Macaca fascicularis: one gene and its partners. The protein of the gene in region 1 interacts with the protein of each later gene in a biochemical or structural test. Links are inferred from orthologs where the notes say so. Each region holds a gene or a part of one and is shown in the gene's direction. Other genes may lie near its edges.

Region 1 (3,803 bases):
GGATCACGGCATCCATTCTCCCCGCAGCCGCTGACCTCTGCAGGTCAGTTCCCAGGACAGTGGAGCCAAACATAGACCAAGTGGGAAGTTCACCTCCCTGGTACAAAGTACGGCCCTGCTACTCATTAACCTTCAGGTGCACCTAAACCTCTGCAGAGAGAGAGAGGGGTTCCTGACGGCAGTGACCACCCACAGGCCTGCCCCACCTCAGATCCCTAGCCTGGGCTCGAGGAGACCAGGAGGTGAGGAAGCACTTCCGGAGGAGAGGCGGTGCTGATGGTAATGGTCGTGGCCTCTGAACACCGGCTATGCACCAGATCCTCGCAACCACCTCTGAGGGAGGTCGTGTGACCCCGCTTTATAGATGAGGACTGAGGTTCTGCGGGGAGGTGAACTGCCCCAGTAGTGAGTAGCTGAGATTTGAACCGCTCTGTGGGACTCAGAGAGGCTTCTAGGTGCTGGGAGGGCTGGGAGAGAAGGGGCCTTGGGGCCTCAGCCTCAGGGCCACGAGTGATCCTGCCCAATCTGTAGGAAAGCCAGATCCTGGAGTCTCTGAGGGAGCCTGGGGCGTTCCAGAGAAACCTGTCAGACCGCTTCCCTGCCCCACCCAGTTTCCTGCCCAATGACTGGGGTGCCTCCTCCCTGCAGCCTTTCCCAGGGAGCCCCAGTGGTTGAGGGTGGGCCCAGGGGACCTCAGAAGCTGCTAGAGGTCCTGGATGCCTTCTCTTGGCCCTGAGACAGTTGGGTCAGGGCAGCAAGGTGAGTGAACAGGGGCTTCTGGCGGCAGCTGGCCCTTTACTGCCCTGCCCCCTGGGGCTCATCCCCCTAAGAGGTCAGAGATGCAAGCCCAGGACACACACACAGCTGCACCCCTGGGGCTCACTGCTCCCAGGATATTTCATGGGCAGCACCTCCCTGGGCCTGTTACCCTTCTGGGCACCCACTCATCCCCAGCCTGCATCCTCATTGAAACCCCTGGGGCCATGGTGATTACATGGCAAGACAGGCAGGACTTGGGGATGGGCTGAAGCTGGGGGCTCGGCCAGGTGACTTCCTGCTTCCTGACTTCCTCCTTTGTGCCCCCAGTAGCCACAATGGAGGTGATGAACCTGATGGAGCAGCCTATCAAGGTGACTGAGTGGCAGCAGACGTACACCTACGACTCGGGTATCCATTCGGGCGCCAACACCTGCGTGCCCTCCATCAGCAGCAAGGGCATCATGGAGGAGGATGAGGCCTGCGGGCGCCAGTACACGCTCAAGAAGACCACCACCTACACCCAGGGGGTGCCCCCCAGCCAAGGTCAGGACCCCTTGGAACTATTCCATGGGGTAGAAAACCTGCCTGGGTCCTGGAGAGAGGTCAGAGTGAAAGGAGGCGGATTCTAGGGGGTCCCTGGTCTGAGGGAGGAGGCACAGCTCATACTAACAGGGGGCCCACCCAGTCTGAAGGAGGAGGTGCAACTACTTCAGGGTGCTGTATCTGGGAGGGTCACAAAATCCTCTTCTGTGAAGAGGGAAGGTAGGGAGGGAAGGCATAGTCCCTGCCCTCAGGGTGCCTCCAGTCTGAAGGAAGAGGCACAGTCCTTGTCTTCTGTGAATGTAAGAATCTGATGAGGACGTTGGGCGCGGTGGCTTACGCCTGTAATCCCAGCACTTTGGGAGACTGAGGTGGGTGGATCACCTGAGGTCAGGAGTTCGAGACCAGCCTGGCCAACATGATGAAACCCCGTCTCTACTAAAAATAAAAAATTAGCCGGGTGTGGTGGCATGCACCTGTAGTCCCAGCTACTAGGGAGGCTGAGGCAGGAGAATTGTTTGAACCCAGGAGGCAGAGGTTGGAGTGAGCTGAGATTGTGCCACTGCACTCCAGCCTGGGTGACAGAGTGAGACTCCGTCTCAAATCATAATAATAATAAAAAAATAAGAATCTGATGAGGAGGCATCACTATGGCTCTCAGGAAGCCCATGGATGGCAGGGAGGACACAGCCCTTTGGCTCTAGGAGCCTCACATTTGATGGGAGAGCCAGGGCCCTAGCCTCCAGGAACCCCCCAGGGATTCTCCTTTGGGTAGAGGAGGTGTAGGTCTCAAGCCTGAGGGCCCCTCGTTGGGAGGGAGACCAGGCCTCTGCTGCTGACATGCAGATAGGCCGAGGCTGTGGGACGAGTGACTGACTCAGCTCTAGGGCTTAGTCCTGGCTGGGGGTGCCCCGCCAGCCCAAGCCTCCCCTGCCCCTCTGGGGGAGAGGAGTAGCCAGGCCCTAGAACTGTTGACCACAGGTGCCTCCGGGGCCCTGAACATGCCATGAGGTGGGCTGTAGGCTCTGAGAGTAGTGAGGGTGGACTGTAGCTGGTGGGGCTCTGCGGAGTCAGCCCCTGCACACCAGTCTCCTCCCTGACAGCTGGTAGGGGGAGTACGGGGCCTCTTGGCTGGGCAGGGCCAGGCACTGTGTTGGTAGCAAAAAGTACAGCATCCAGGTGGGAAAGCCATGCAGCTGTCTCCTCCTTCCCAACTAATTAGAGGGTGGAACCTCTGCGTCCCTCTCCCTGGGGGCATCAGGACAGTTGCCAGGGTGTGGCTGCTTGGGCATCTACCTGTGGGACTCCCAGACCCACCCAGGGGGAGGAAGGAAGTTAGAGAGGAACCTGACGTCTCAGCTGAGGACCCAGCTCCTGGCTCCCTGAACCCACAGCCCTGACTTTCCCTCTGATCTGCTGTGAGATGTGATGTTGGTGGCTCTCTGGGCCTCTGTTTGCCTGCCTGTATAGTGGGAGGATTGCCGCTGTTGGGGATGATGAGGGTGTAATTAGACTCCTGAGATTTCAGGGTTGAAAGGAGACCTGATGGGTAAGGGAGGAGAATGGAATAGGGGTTTGGGCCCCTGAGTCAGGCTGCCTTATAACCCCTCTGTGCCCAGTTTTCCCATCTGTAAAGAGGAGCCAATGATAGTACTTACCTTGCAGGGTCATTGTCAGATTATATGAGAAAATAGCAGGGCACTGAATTCACTGCCAGGCACATAATAAGTGTGCCAAAAAAAAAAAAATTCCCATGATGGACATAACATGTGGGGCCCATTTTACAGATGAGGTTACTGAGGTGATGGTGACTTCCCCAAGGTCCCTGGGGAGAGGTAGAATGGCCAGTCATGCGCTGCGGCTTTGGGCAGGGTGAAAGGTAGCCCAGAGGGCCGAGGTGGGGCTGTGTGCAGCCTGCCCTGCTCCCCAGTGTCTGCCCAGCCCACTGCCCGCACTCAGTCCCTGTCCCCATGGCCCCCAGGTGACCTGGAGTACCAGATGTCCACAACAGCCAGAGCCAAACGGGTGCGGGAGGCCATGTGCCCTGGCGTGTCAGGCGAGGACAGCTCGCTGCTGCTGGCCACGCAGGTGGAGGGGCAGGCCACCAACCTGCAGCGACTGGCCGAGCCATCCCAGCTGCTCAAGTCGGCCATTGTGCATCTCATCAACTACCAGGACGACGCCGAGCTGGCCACTCGAGCCCTGCCCGAGCTCACCAAGCTGCTCAACGACGAGGACCCGGTCTGTGAGGGTCCCGGCTAGGGTGGGGGCTGAGCAGGGAGGGGAGAGAGCAGATGTCCTCAGGGGAGGGACATTGTAGGGGAGGAGGAAGGTTATGACCCGGACTCCCCTGTATGTGACGAGTCTGGGGCCCTCCTCAGCTCTGTGGAAGGGTGTCCCGGCCCCTCCTTAGTGCTCACGTCCCCGCACCTGCCTTTGCCCTCCAGGTGGTGGTGACTAAGGCGGCCATGATTGTGAACCAGCTATCAAAGAAGGAGGCGTCG
Region 2 (3,803 bases), on another chromosome or scaffold:
TTAAAACCGAGTCAAAAACAAGGGATGATTTGGCAAGTGAGGAGAAATTATGGGAATAAAGACATTGAAATAAATATTGGTGTAAAAAATAATTCAGTATTGTCCAACCATTACTACACTAAATGTCTAAAATATTTCTTCCATTTTGAACGTTATTACAGATGCTCTTCAAAGAACTTGCACTGGTACAATTAATATTGACATTCAAAATGTTGATGGAGATGACAGGACTAATACACAGGCGAGCACTGAAGTTACCAATACTGGCAGAGAAGAAAGTACTTCTTCCACTAACTATGAAACCAGCACACTTTACTCTGAGACAGCAAGTTCTACTTTATACCCAAATGGAAGACAACCCCTATTGTTCGCAGACAATGTGCATTTCGGTCCTGCTGGCATTGGACTGCTCATCATGGGGTTCTTGGTCTTAGGATGTGAGTACTTTAGCAAATCCTATGTATATGTGTACCCCAAAAACTGGTGGGGGAAGAGATACATTTTCTGATTCTTTGATAAAACGTATTTTACAAACTCTCATTTTGTGCAATTATAAAGAAATTTCTACGCTTGGCACTGGGTTTATAAGGTGAAAAAAATTAAACTTCTTGACCCCTTACAGGACTGTGGAGGATAAAAACTTATTTGCAATAAGTCTCAATGTAATGGGGAAATGCCATGACAAGCAGGCTCAAATTGCTATTGCAGTGAAGAAGACAATCAGAAAAGGCTACAGAGGGGGCCGGGTGTGGTGGCTCACGCCCGTAATCCCAGAACTTTGAGAGGCCAAGGCGGGCAGATCACTTGAGGTCAGAAGTTCAAGACCAGCCTGGCCAACATGGTGAAACCCACGTCTCTACTAAAAATATAAAAATGAGCCAGGTATGGTGGCAGGTGCCTCTAATCCCAGCTACTCAAGAGGCTTAGGCAGGAGAATTGCTTGAACCCAGGAGGCAGGCATTCAGTCAAAAAAGAGGAAAGAAAGAAAGAAAAAGAAAGAAAGAAAGAAAAGAAAGAAAGAAAGAAAGAAAGAAAGAAAGAAAGAAAGAAAGAAAGAAAGAAAGACAGAAAGAAAGAAAGAAAGAAAGAAAGAGAGAAAGAAAGAGAGAAAGGGAGAGAGAGGAAGGAAGGAAGGAAAGAAAGAGAGAAAGAAAGAGAGAAAGGGAGAGAGAGGAAGGAAGGAAGGAAGGAAGGAAGGAAGGAAGGAAGGAAGGAAGGAAGGAAGGAAGGAAGGCAGGCAGGCAGGCAGGCAGGCAGGCAACAGGGAAAGAGTAAACTCTGAGTTGCGTTTTAAAAGATGAATAAGAGTTAGGCTGATGGACTAGAGAAAGGGAACACAATACAAGGGGAAAAAAACTATGTGCAAAAACCCAAAAGAATGAGAGTGCAAGGTACTGCAATGAAGAACTCCAATGTGCAAGAAATAAAATAAGTACATGACAGCATAGTGAAAGCTTAGACTAAAAGATAGGCAGGTCTCAAAGAGATTTTATTGATACTAACACTGCATAGTATTAATAAAAGGAGAGTCCCTAGGGTTAAACTCTGGTTTCTAAGCCGAATTGTCTGATTCTTCTGAAGGTCACCTAACCTTTCTGAGCCTTGTTTTTGTCATGTATGAAATAATACTTACCTTAAAACAATGCTTTGATGATGAAAAAGAAGTACCACACATGAAGCATTTAGCGTGTTCTATGGCCACTAGGGTAGCACTAGTCAAAGGTCTAGCCATAAAGGTAGACTACAGTGGATTCTCCAGGTGGTCTTTAACATTACCTTGAATGATGATAGAAATTAGAGCAAGATAAACCACATGGCACAGTCTTTGAGAAATGAGAACAGGACCTCTAAAGTAAGTAGGTTGTAGTCTGCACATTGCAATTAAATTAATGCAAACATTGTCATTTTCAAATGTGGAATCAAAATCTTAAGGTCAGAAGGTACCTCAGATATTTAAATCAAACGCACACACAAAATATAAAGTCAGAGCACTTACATACAAAATATTTTTTTTCTACTTTCATTTTTCTTTGCACATGAACAGCGACAGATATTTTTTGCTACATTTATTTGTGAACTGGGTTTTCTCTGATTTTAAACAACTCTTTTTTTTTTAAGTTTTCATCAATATTGGACTCATCTAAACAAGTCTGGTCATGATGATAACACAGCTTAAAGCTGGAGTTCTTTTTCCAAAATTTAAAACATATTTCCAAAAAATGAAATTTCTACATTGACAAATAAGAGTTTATTCTTATCGGTTCATAATTAATTGAAGTAATAACTAGGAAAATTTCTATGAAATGGAGAAAAGGGAAAGAGAGAAAGAAAAGAGCATTCTCATCAAAATGTACCAAGACAGGAAGAAGGCAAAAATGCGAGTGAAGTTGCAGAATATAACATAAAATACATATGAAACGAGTTCATTCTCTATTTGTTATGCATATTGATTACAACTTACCTTGTAAAATATTTAAATTTAATACTTCATAAGAGCAACTTAATTACCCAACTGCTGATTATCACTACTGTAAATAATACCTGACTTTCATGTTGAGATTTTTGTTTTTTGGGTTTTTTTTTTGTTTTTTGTTTTTTGTTTTTTGAGATTGAGTCTCGCTCTGTTGCCCAGGCTGGAGTGCAGTGGTGCAATCTCAGCTCACTGTAACCTTCGCCTCCCAGGTTCAAGCGATTCTCCTGCCTCAGACTCCTGAGTAGCTGAGACTACCCGCGCGCACCACCACACCCCGTTAATTTTTGTATTTTCATTAGAGACAGGGTTTCACCATATTGGCTGGGATGGTCTCGATCTCCTGACCTCGTGATCCACCTGCTTTGGCCTCTCATGGTACTGGGATTACAGGCATGAGCCACCGCGGCCGGCCTGAGTTGGTTTTTTATATTGCTGACTACCTCTGGGTACTGTAGTTAATAAAAAGATTTACAAATTATATATGGGCCTTAGAGTCATCACTACCTGTAGACCCAAAGTTTCCTCTAGTAGATTTTCAGAAAACCAACACATGGGCTTCTTCTCTTTTTTTCTTTTTTCTTCTCTCCCTCTCTCCCTTATTTCTATCCTTACTATCTTCCTTCCTCCCTAATTTACTTCCTTCTTTTTTCCTTTCCTTCTTCTTCACATTTTTAATTTACAAATTCTTTCTTTCATCCATTTATTCAAAACCATTTACCAAGATTAGATTATATAAGAGGCTGATAATAAATAGAAAAATAAGAAAACTCCACTTGATTAACAACAGAAGACACTGCTAAGCAGCGTGATGTTTTCTATTTGTATAAGAGTTGTTGAAAGAAAAGACACCTGCATAGGGGGAAATAGTAGCCTCAAGGAGAATTGCTGGAAGCATGAATAAGATTTTACCATTGAAATAAAGGCAAGCATATGTAAAAGGAAGAAAATAAAGACATGGAGGAGAGAACACAAAGGATCAACTATATTGCCTGACCTTTCATCTTTCCTTCTTCTCTCCTTTAATATTTTTCTAAATAATGACATAGAAAGATTAATTGGTTTTAATAATGTAATACTATCTGTAATTTTTTTTTTTTTTTTTTGAGAGAGGGTCTCACTCTGTCACTCAGGCTGGAGTGCAGTGGCACAACCACCGCACACCTCCCTGGTTGAGCAGCCTCAACCTCCCTGGCTCAAGCCATCCTCCCAACTCAGCCTCCGGAGTAGCTAAGATTACAGGCAAAAGCCCCCATGCATGCCTAATTTTTGTATTTTTTGTAGAGATGGAGTTCCACCATGTTGCTCAGGCTTGTCTCAAACTCCTGGACTC
Region 3 (3,584 bases), on another chromosome or scaffold:
GGCTCCTACTTGCTGAGCCGGCTTGTTCTCACCTTGAGGGGCACAGGCCTCCACCCTGCCATGTGGGGTGAGGGGATCCTTGGCCAGAGTGGTTTCCCTGCTGTCACAGAAGGGAAGTCAGCGGGAGGCTCAGAAGGCCTTGGCTGTACAACCAGTGCCGTGCGGCACAGCCAGGGTCCCATGAACGACTTCCATCAGATCACCTGCCTCCATCCCCAAGCAGAGTGTAGGCAAGGGCTGTGACTGCCTCAGGTAATTGGGTGATTTTGCTCCAGCAAGAGGACAGGAAGCATGTGAGTGCCACCCTGAACCTTTAAGAAACACCCATGGGGTGGGAGGTGCTTGGTCCAGGCCAGGGTGCTCGGTGCTAAGCGTGCTCTCCCTTCAGTGCCCGGACTCGGCTTGCAAGCAGGACCTGCTGGCCTACCTGCAACGCATCGCCCTCTACTGCCACCAGCTCAACATCTGCAGCAAGGTCAAGGCCGAGGTGCAGAATCTCGGCGGGGAGCTCGTTGTCTCTGGGGTAAGCATTAGCTGAGAAAAAAGAGGGCCAGTGGGAACGTGCTGACCCTTGTCAGAAATGAAAGTCACTTCCTATCCACATACACACCTGCCCTGGGAAAGTGTGCTGAGCAGAAACCCCAAGTCCTGTCCCAGCCTCCGGAGACCAAGGTCTGTCCATCATCTGTTCCCTGTAGAACTGTGACACGTGTGGGCCACTGCAAGGGCTGAAAGGCTGGCCTCCTCCCCTTTGCTGGCCACTCACTGGGAACAAATTTTTAAAAATCTTCCTTGGGACCGGGCGTGGTGGCAGGTGCTTGTAAGTCCCAGCTACTTGGGAGGCTGAGACACAAGAATTGCTTAAGCCTGGGAGACAGAGGTTGCAGTGAGCCGAGATGGCACCACTGCACTCCAGTCTGGGTGACAGGGCAAGACTCTGTCTCAAAATAAAACAAAACTTCCTTTTCTTCCCCCAGAGAGGAATTAAGAGTAGACATAGATAGGATGCTTTCTCGAAAGCCCTTCACCCCTCAGAGCGCTTGGGTAGCATCTCTTTTATCAGGTCACAGTTCTGAGGCCTTTCTCACCTAGGGCAGGGGAAAGAGGTTTGCTGAGTGGACTGGGGTCCAGCGAGCCTCCGTGGCTTCTTTTAATCCCATTAAATTTCCTTTAAAAGAAACACTTCTTATATTGAACATATTGAGACCATTTGCTCATCTGCTTTGCCATAAACGTCCCTGTCTCGATTCCTGCTTCTCCTCCCCCACGTACTTATAGCTCTGGGATCACTCACAGTGGCTTCCGCTTTGAGTGAATAAACACTTGCTGGGGGGTGGGGGCGAGCAAAGCAAGGCTGCCTCATGTCTTCTTCAAAGGGTCTGAGGGCAGGCGCTTCCAGGCTATTTAGGTAAGAGCAACTGTTGAGGGTGTTCCTCAGCAACAGGCTGCTGCCCAATCCTCTGCCACCTGCCCAGGCCCTGGTCTTGCAGAGGAGTAGGGGGCCCCCCTTCAGGCACAGCCCACCTGTGTCCACGATGCTGGAGGTCAGGCCTGTGCTTCTCACCACCCTTGTCTGCCTTGTAGGTGGACAGCGCCATGTCCCTGATCCAGGCAGCCAAGAACTTGATGAATGCTGTGGTGCAGACAGTGAAAGCATCCTACGTCGCCTCTACCAAATACCAAAAGTCGCAGGGTATGGCTTCCCTCAACCTTCCTGCTGTGTCATGGAAGATGAAGGCACCAGAGAAAAAGCCCTTGGTGAAGAGAGAGAAACAGGATGAGACGCAGACCAAGATTAAACGGGCATCTCAGAAGAAGCATGTGAACCCGGTGCAGGCCCTCAGCGAGTTCAAAGCCATGGACAGTATCTAAGTCTGCCCAGGCCAGCTGCCCCCACCCCTCAGGGCTCCTGAAGATCAGTCACTGTTTGTCACTCAAATGAATTTGCTAAATACTACACTGATGTCAGATTCCACAGGGAAATGGGCAGACTGTGAACCAGTCCAGGTGGTGAATTTTCCAAGAACATAGTTTAAGTTGATTAAAAATGCTTTTAGAATGCAGGAGCCTACTTCTAGCTGTATTTTTTTATATGCTTAAATAAAAGTAAAAATTCCATAACCAAAGAGAATCCCACATTAGCTTGTTAGTAATGCTTTGAGCAAGCCGAGATGCCCATTCTCTTAGTGAGGGCGGCATTAGGGTTTAAGAGAAGGGAATTTGGCTCAACCTCAGTTGAGAGGGTGCAGTCCAGACAGCTTGACTGCTTTTAAATGACCAAAGATGACCTGTGGTAAGCAACCTGGGCATCTCAGGAAGCAGTCCCTGGAGAAGGAATGTTCTCAGAAAGGTCTTTAGAGGAACAAACTCAGTAAAACGTAATGTTTCATGAAGAAAACTGATTACTCTCTTTATGACATGAAATGAGAATTTAAATGCATGGTTACAATTACTAATGTACGCTGCTGCAGGTCATTAATAAAGTTGCTTTTTTTAGGCTACAGTGTCGTAATCAGAACACACTTTTCTCTTTCTTCCAGCTTCAAATGCAAATTCATCACTGGGCTCACTTCTAACAATTGCAGTGTTTCCCACCTTGGGCTTGCAGCAGAAAAACCTGACAAAATAGTGTGTGCTAAGGCAGTAATTTAGACTTTACCTTATTTGTGATTACTATAGTGATTACTGTAACTACAAGGCATAACTTACCATCTTATATAAATTTTACAAATTTTGAATGTTTTTTACACTAACTTTTCCCAATAAAGTCCACTATGAAACCACAACATCCAAGAGGCCAAAGTCGTCATCTCTTCCTTCAAGTGCTCACAGCATCTGTGGTGCTCTGGGCCCTCCCGGTGTCCCTCTCTTCCAGGATGGGGATGCCCGGAAGGGAGGCTGTGGCTCTAGGCTGCACGGCTCATGCCAGCCCATCAGGGAGGGCCATGCCCCTTGTCCTATTGAGTGCCCCACCCTGCACCCCCACCTTGGGAGTTGACATGTCCATTCCTTGAGGTTCATGTCAACCTCGGAGGCATCCCGTCTTCATTATGAATGTCCCCTCTCCTGTGTCCTTCCTGTCAGCACACACACACCTATGATGATAGCGGCCTTCGAGATGAAAACCCCTGAACCCCATGATCCTTTCTCACTTCCAACCGGCTGTCGCCTTGCTCCCTCCACCTCCCCTCGTCAGGGCGACTGCCTTCCACTGCCAGTGACACTGGCAATGGTCTTCAGACCTCATCATGCAAGCTGCCTGGGGGCGTGGCGGGGAGGAGGAGGAGGACAAGGACTCCTGAATGCTGCTAACTCGGCTTCCAGGACACCCCACTCAGGTTCTGCCTGCCTTACTGGGGGCTCCTCCTTTCCTGGGGCTGAGAGGTTGTGTCTGTGCCCACCCTCCTGAGCTCAGGCAGAATCTCACATGTAAAGACATACAAATGCCGACTTCTCCCCAGAGCCTGCCTTTTATAACTGACTGCCGCCTCATGCTCCATTCGGATGTCTAATGAATCTCAGACTTGACCTGTCCAAACTGCTTGCCACCTACTCCCCACCGCCCATCCCCATACCCTCCATAC
Region 4 (3,559 bases), on another chromosome or scaffold:
CACGCCATTGCACTCCAGCCTGGGTGACAAGAGTGAAACTCCGTCTCCAAAAAAAAAAGAAAAAGAAAACAATACAAGTCCTTCCTTAGTTCCCACACCCCCACTCCCCAGATTTAACTGTTAAGCATTTGGCATTCATCCTTCCAGCCCTTTCTGGGTGGAAATGCAGCCTGAATGCACCAGTATGCAAAGTTTCCAGCTCTGTCCATCCAGCTGGTGGTGTGGAAGCCCCACCCTGATTTGTGGGGACTCCATCCTGACTGGTTGGTGCTTGCATCTCTCCTGCCTACATATAACTTACCATTTTACTTTCTCTTTCCATCAACAGCGTATCCTGTGCATCTTTCCATGCCAGTGTGTATAAATGTACCTTGCTGGTATTCACTGCTCCGTGGTGTGCCAGTCTGGGTGCATTGTCATACCTTACATGTTGCGAGACTTCTTGCCCCGGGTGACAGGTGTGTCCTTCCTTTCACTAAAAGGTCCTGTTGTCCCCTTTTCTTCTTTAGAATCTGAAGGCAGCTGATAGTGACCCCACGGCCCCGCCTTATGATTCTCTGCTCGTGTTTGACTATGAAGGAAGCGGTTCCGAAGCTGCTAGTCTGAGCTCCCTGAACTCTTCAGAGTCAGACAAAGACCAGGACTATGATTACTTGAATGAATGGGGCAATCGCTTCAAGAAGCTGGCAGACATGTACGGAGGCGGCGAGGATGACTAGGGGACTCGAGAGAGGCGGACCCTAGACCTCTGTGCTGGGAAATGCAGAGATCATGTTGCTGGTGGTTTTTCAGCTCCCTTCCCTTGAGATGAGTTTCTGGGAAAAAAAGAGACTGGTCAGTGATGCAGTTAGTATAGCTTTATAGTCTTTCCACTTTATAGCTGTAATCGATGTGTGTTAGAAAAGTTTTGACTTATTCCTTGAAGGTTTTTTTTTCCCCACCACGCTTTACATGGTGGTGATGTCCACAAGATACCCAAATTTTAATATTACAGAAGAACAACTTTAGCATCAGAAGGTTCACCTAGCACCTTGCAGATTTTCTTAAGGAATTTTGTCTCACTTTTAAAAAAAAGGGGAGAAGTCAGCTACTCTAGTTCTGTTTTTCTGTGTATATAATTTTTTTTTAATGTGTATGCTCCTGCTCATTGCTACAATGGTTTGTCCCCCTGCCCCCCTTTTTTTTTTTTTTTTTTTTTTAAGACAGGGTCTCATTCTGTCGGCCAGGCTGGAGTGCAGTGGTGCAATCACAACTCACAGAAGCCTTGTCCTCCCAGGCTTAAGCAATCCTTGCACCTCAGCCTCCCAAGTAGCTGGGACCACAGGCATGTGCCACTATGCACGACTAATTTTTTAAATATTTGAGACAGGGTCTCCCTATGTTACCCAGGCTGGTCTTAAACTCTTGGGCTCAAGTGATCCTCCCATCTTGGCCTCCCAGAGTGTTGGGATTACAGGCATGAGACACTGCATCTGCCCAGCTCCCCAGCTCCCTGCCATTTTTTAAGAGACAGTTTCGCTCCGTCACACAGGCCTGGGATGCAGTGATGTGATCATAGCTCACTGTAACCTCGAACTCTGGGGCTCAAGCAATTCTCCCATCAGCCTCCTTTTTATTTTTTTGAACAGATGGGGTCTTGCTATATTGCCATGTTAGTCTTAAACTCCTGGCCTCAAGCAATCCTCCTGCCTTGGCCTCCCAAAGTGCTGGGATTGCGGGCATGAGCTGCTGTGCCCAGCCTCCATGTTTTAATATCTACTCTCACTCCTGAATTCAGTTGCTTTGCCCAAGATAGGAGTTCTTCGGTGCGGAAATTATTGGGCCCTTTTAGGGTAAGCAGCTCATGTCTTCGTCTGGCCACATCTTGACTAGGTATTGTCTACTCTGAAGACTTTTAATGGCTTCCCTCTTTCATCTCCTGAGTATGTAACTTGCAGTGGTCATCTATCCAGTGACTTGTTCTGAGTAAGTGTGTTCGTTAATGTTTATTTAGCTCTGAAACAAGAGTGACATACTCCAGGACTTAGAATAGTGCCTAAAATGCTGCAGCCAAAGACAGAGTGGAACTAGGAAAAGTGGGCTTGGAGATGGCAGGAGAGCTTCTCATTGAGCCTGGCAATTTAGCAAACTGATGCCGAGGATGATTGAGGTGGGTCTACCTCATCTCTGAAAATTCTGGAAGGAATGGAGGAGTCTCAACATGTGTTTCTGACACAGGATCTGTGGTTTGTACTCAAAGCCCAGAATCCCCAAGTGCCTGCTTTTGATGATGTCTACAGAAAATGCTGGCTGATCTGAACACATTTGTCCAATTCCAAATGTGCATAGAAAACTGAGAATATTCGAAATTCTAAACATTTTTCTTAGGAGCAACAAGAAAATGTGGCCCTAAAGGGGGTTAATCGAGGGGTGGGGGGGTGGAGAGGATCTTGATTTGGAGCTCTTTTTATTTAAATGTGAATTGCAACTTTTTGACAATCAAAGAAAAGACTTTTGTTGAAATAGCTTTACTGTTTCTCAAGTGTTTGGGAGAAAAAAATCAACCCTGCAATCACTTTTTGGAATTGTCTTGATTTTTCTAAAGTTCAAGCTGTATCGAATATAGTTCTGTGTAGAGAATGTCACTGTAGTTTTGAGTGTGTACGTGTGTGGGTGCTGATCATTGTATATTTTCTTTAGGGGTGGAAAAGGAAAACAAGCTGAGAAAAGTATTCTCAAAGATGCATTTTTATAAATTTTATTAAAGAATTTTGTTAAACCATTGTCGAACTTGTTTTATTTGATTCCACCACATTTCCAGGCAAGAGAGAAGATGGATGGATATAGCCTTAGTCAAAACATGGAGAAAGAGGCGGGGCACAGTGGCTCACGACTGTAATCTCAGCACTTCAGGAGGCCGAGGCGGGTGGATCACTTGAGCTCAGGAGTTTGAGACCAGCCTGGGCAACACAGTGAAACCTCGTCTCTACAAAAACACAAAAACTAGCTGGACGTGGTGGCACGTGCCTGTAGTCCCAGCTACTCCGGAGGCTGAGGCATGAGAATCACTTGAACCCGGGAGGCGGAGGTTGCAGTGAGCCGAGATTGCGCCACTGCACTCCAGCCTGGGAGACAGCAAGACTCCATCTCAAAAAAATTAAAAAAATTAAAAAGCTTAATGCTGAAGTGACTTCTCCAGAAGCTTCTATCATTCTACTGGACACAACATGGGAGAAACTACATTCACATGGTAACTTTATTTGAACAGTATCCATCCATGTGGCATGTGATGAAACCAATACAATTCCCATGTCCACGGGAGACTGTGGGCCCAGCTGAAGGACGAGACAGAGCAAAGTTTCAGACGACGTTCTCAGGGTCAACAAGTGAGTACAGGCCAGTGGTTCTCTGCTGGGGAAGAATGTGCCCCCTCCTCCCTGGGATATTTTGCAATTTCTGGAGTACTTAGGGAGGTGGTCCTGTCATCACATCAAAGCCAGGGATGCTGCTAAACATCCCTGCACAGGACAGTTCCCCACAACAAAGAATTATCCTGCACAAAATGTCAGCCACCGTTAAG

What was found. The genes of interacting proteins can lie anywhere in the genome.
Region 2: the proteins of JUP (region 1) and DSG1 form a complex in vitro, tested with the Homo sapiens proteins (2 studies listed by BioGRID and IntAct). The link is inferred for Macaca fascicularis from reciprocal best matches to the Homo sapiens genes JUP and DSG1.
Region 3: the proteins of JUP (region 1) and CTNNA1 form a complex in vitro, tested with the Homo sapiens proteins (2 studies listed by BioGRID). The link is inferred for Macaca fascicularis from reciprocal best matches to the Homo sapiens genes JUP and CTNNA1.
Region 4: the proteins of JUP (region 1) and CDH1 form a complex in vitro, tested with the Homo sapiens proteins (2 studies listed by BioGRID). The link is inferred for Macaca fascicularis from reciprocal best matches to the Homo sapiens genes JUP and CDH1.

The regions. Positions count from the first base shown.
Region 1 is NC_088390.1:62,806,327-62,810,129, reverse strand, and holds part of JUP (junction plakoglobin), read left to right. Parts: intron 1-134; exon of another isoform or gene 135-242; intron 243-1,086; 5' UTR 1,087-1,094; coding exon 1,095-1,302; intron 1,303-3,280; coding exon 3,281-3,540; intron 3,541-3,746; coding exon 3,747-3,803. UniProt on the Homo sapiens protein: Common junctional plaque protein. The membrane-associated plaques are architectural elements in an important strategic position to influence the arrangement and function of both the cytoskeleton and the cells within the tissue.
Region 2 is NC_088392.1:58,532,206-58,536,008, reverse strand, and holds part of DSG1 (desmoglein-1), read left to right. Parts: intron 1-161; coding exon 162-437; intron 438-3,803. UniProt on the Homo sapiens protein: Component of intercellular desmosome junctions. Involved in the interaction of plaque proteins and intermediate filaments mediating cell-cell adhesion.
Region 3 is NC_088380.1:145,432,345-145,435,928, forward strand, and holds the end of CTNNA1 (catenin alpha-1), read left to right. Parts: intron 1-388; coding exon 389-523; intron 524-1,524; exon of another isoform or gene 1,525-1,584; coding exon 1,585-1,872; 3' UTR 1,873-2,786; downstream 2,787-3,584. UniProt on the Homo sapiens protein: Associates with the cytoplasmic domain of a variety of cadherins. The association of catenins to cadherins produces a complex which is linked to the actin filament network, and which seems to be of primary importance for cadherins cell-adhesion properties.
Region 4 is NC_088394.1:64,919,312-64,922,870, forward strand, and holds the end of CDH1 (cadherin-1), read left to right. Parts: intron 1-509; coding exon 510-719; 3' UTR 720-2,761; downstream 2,762-3,559.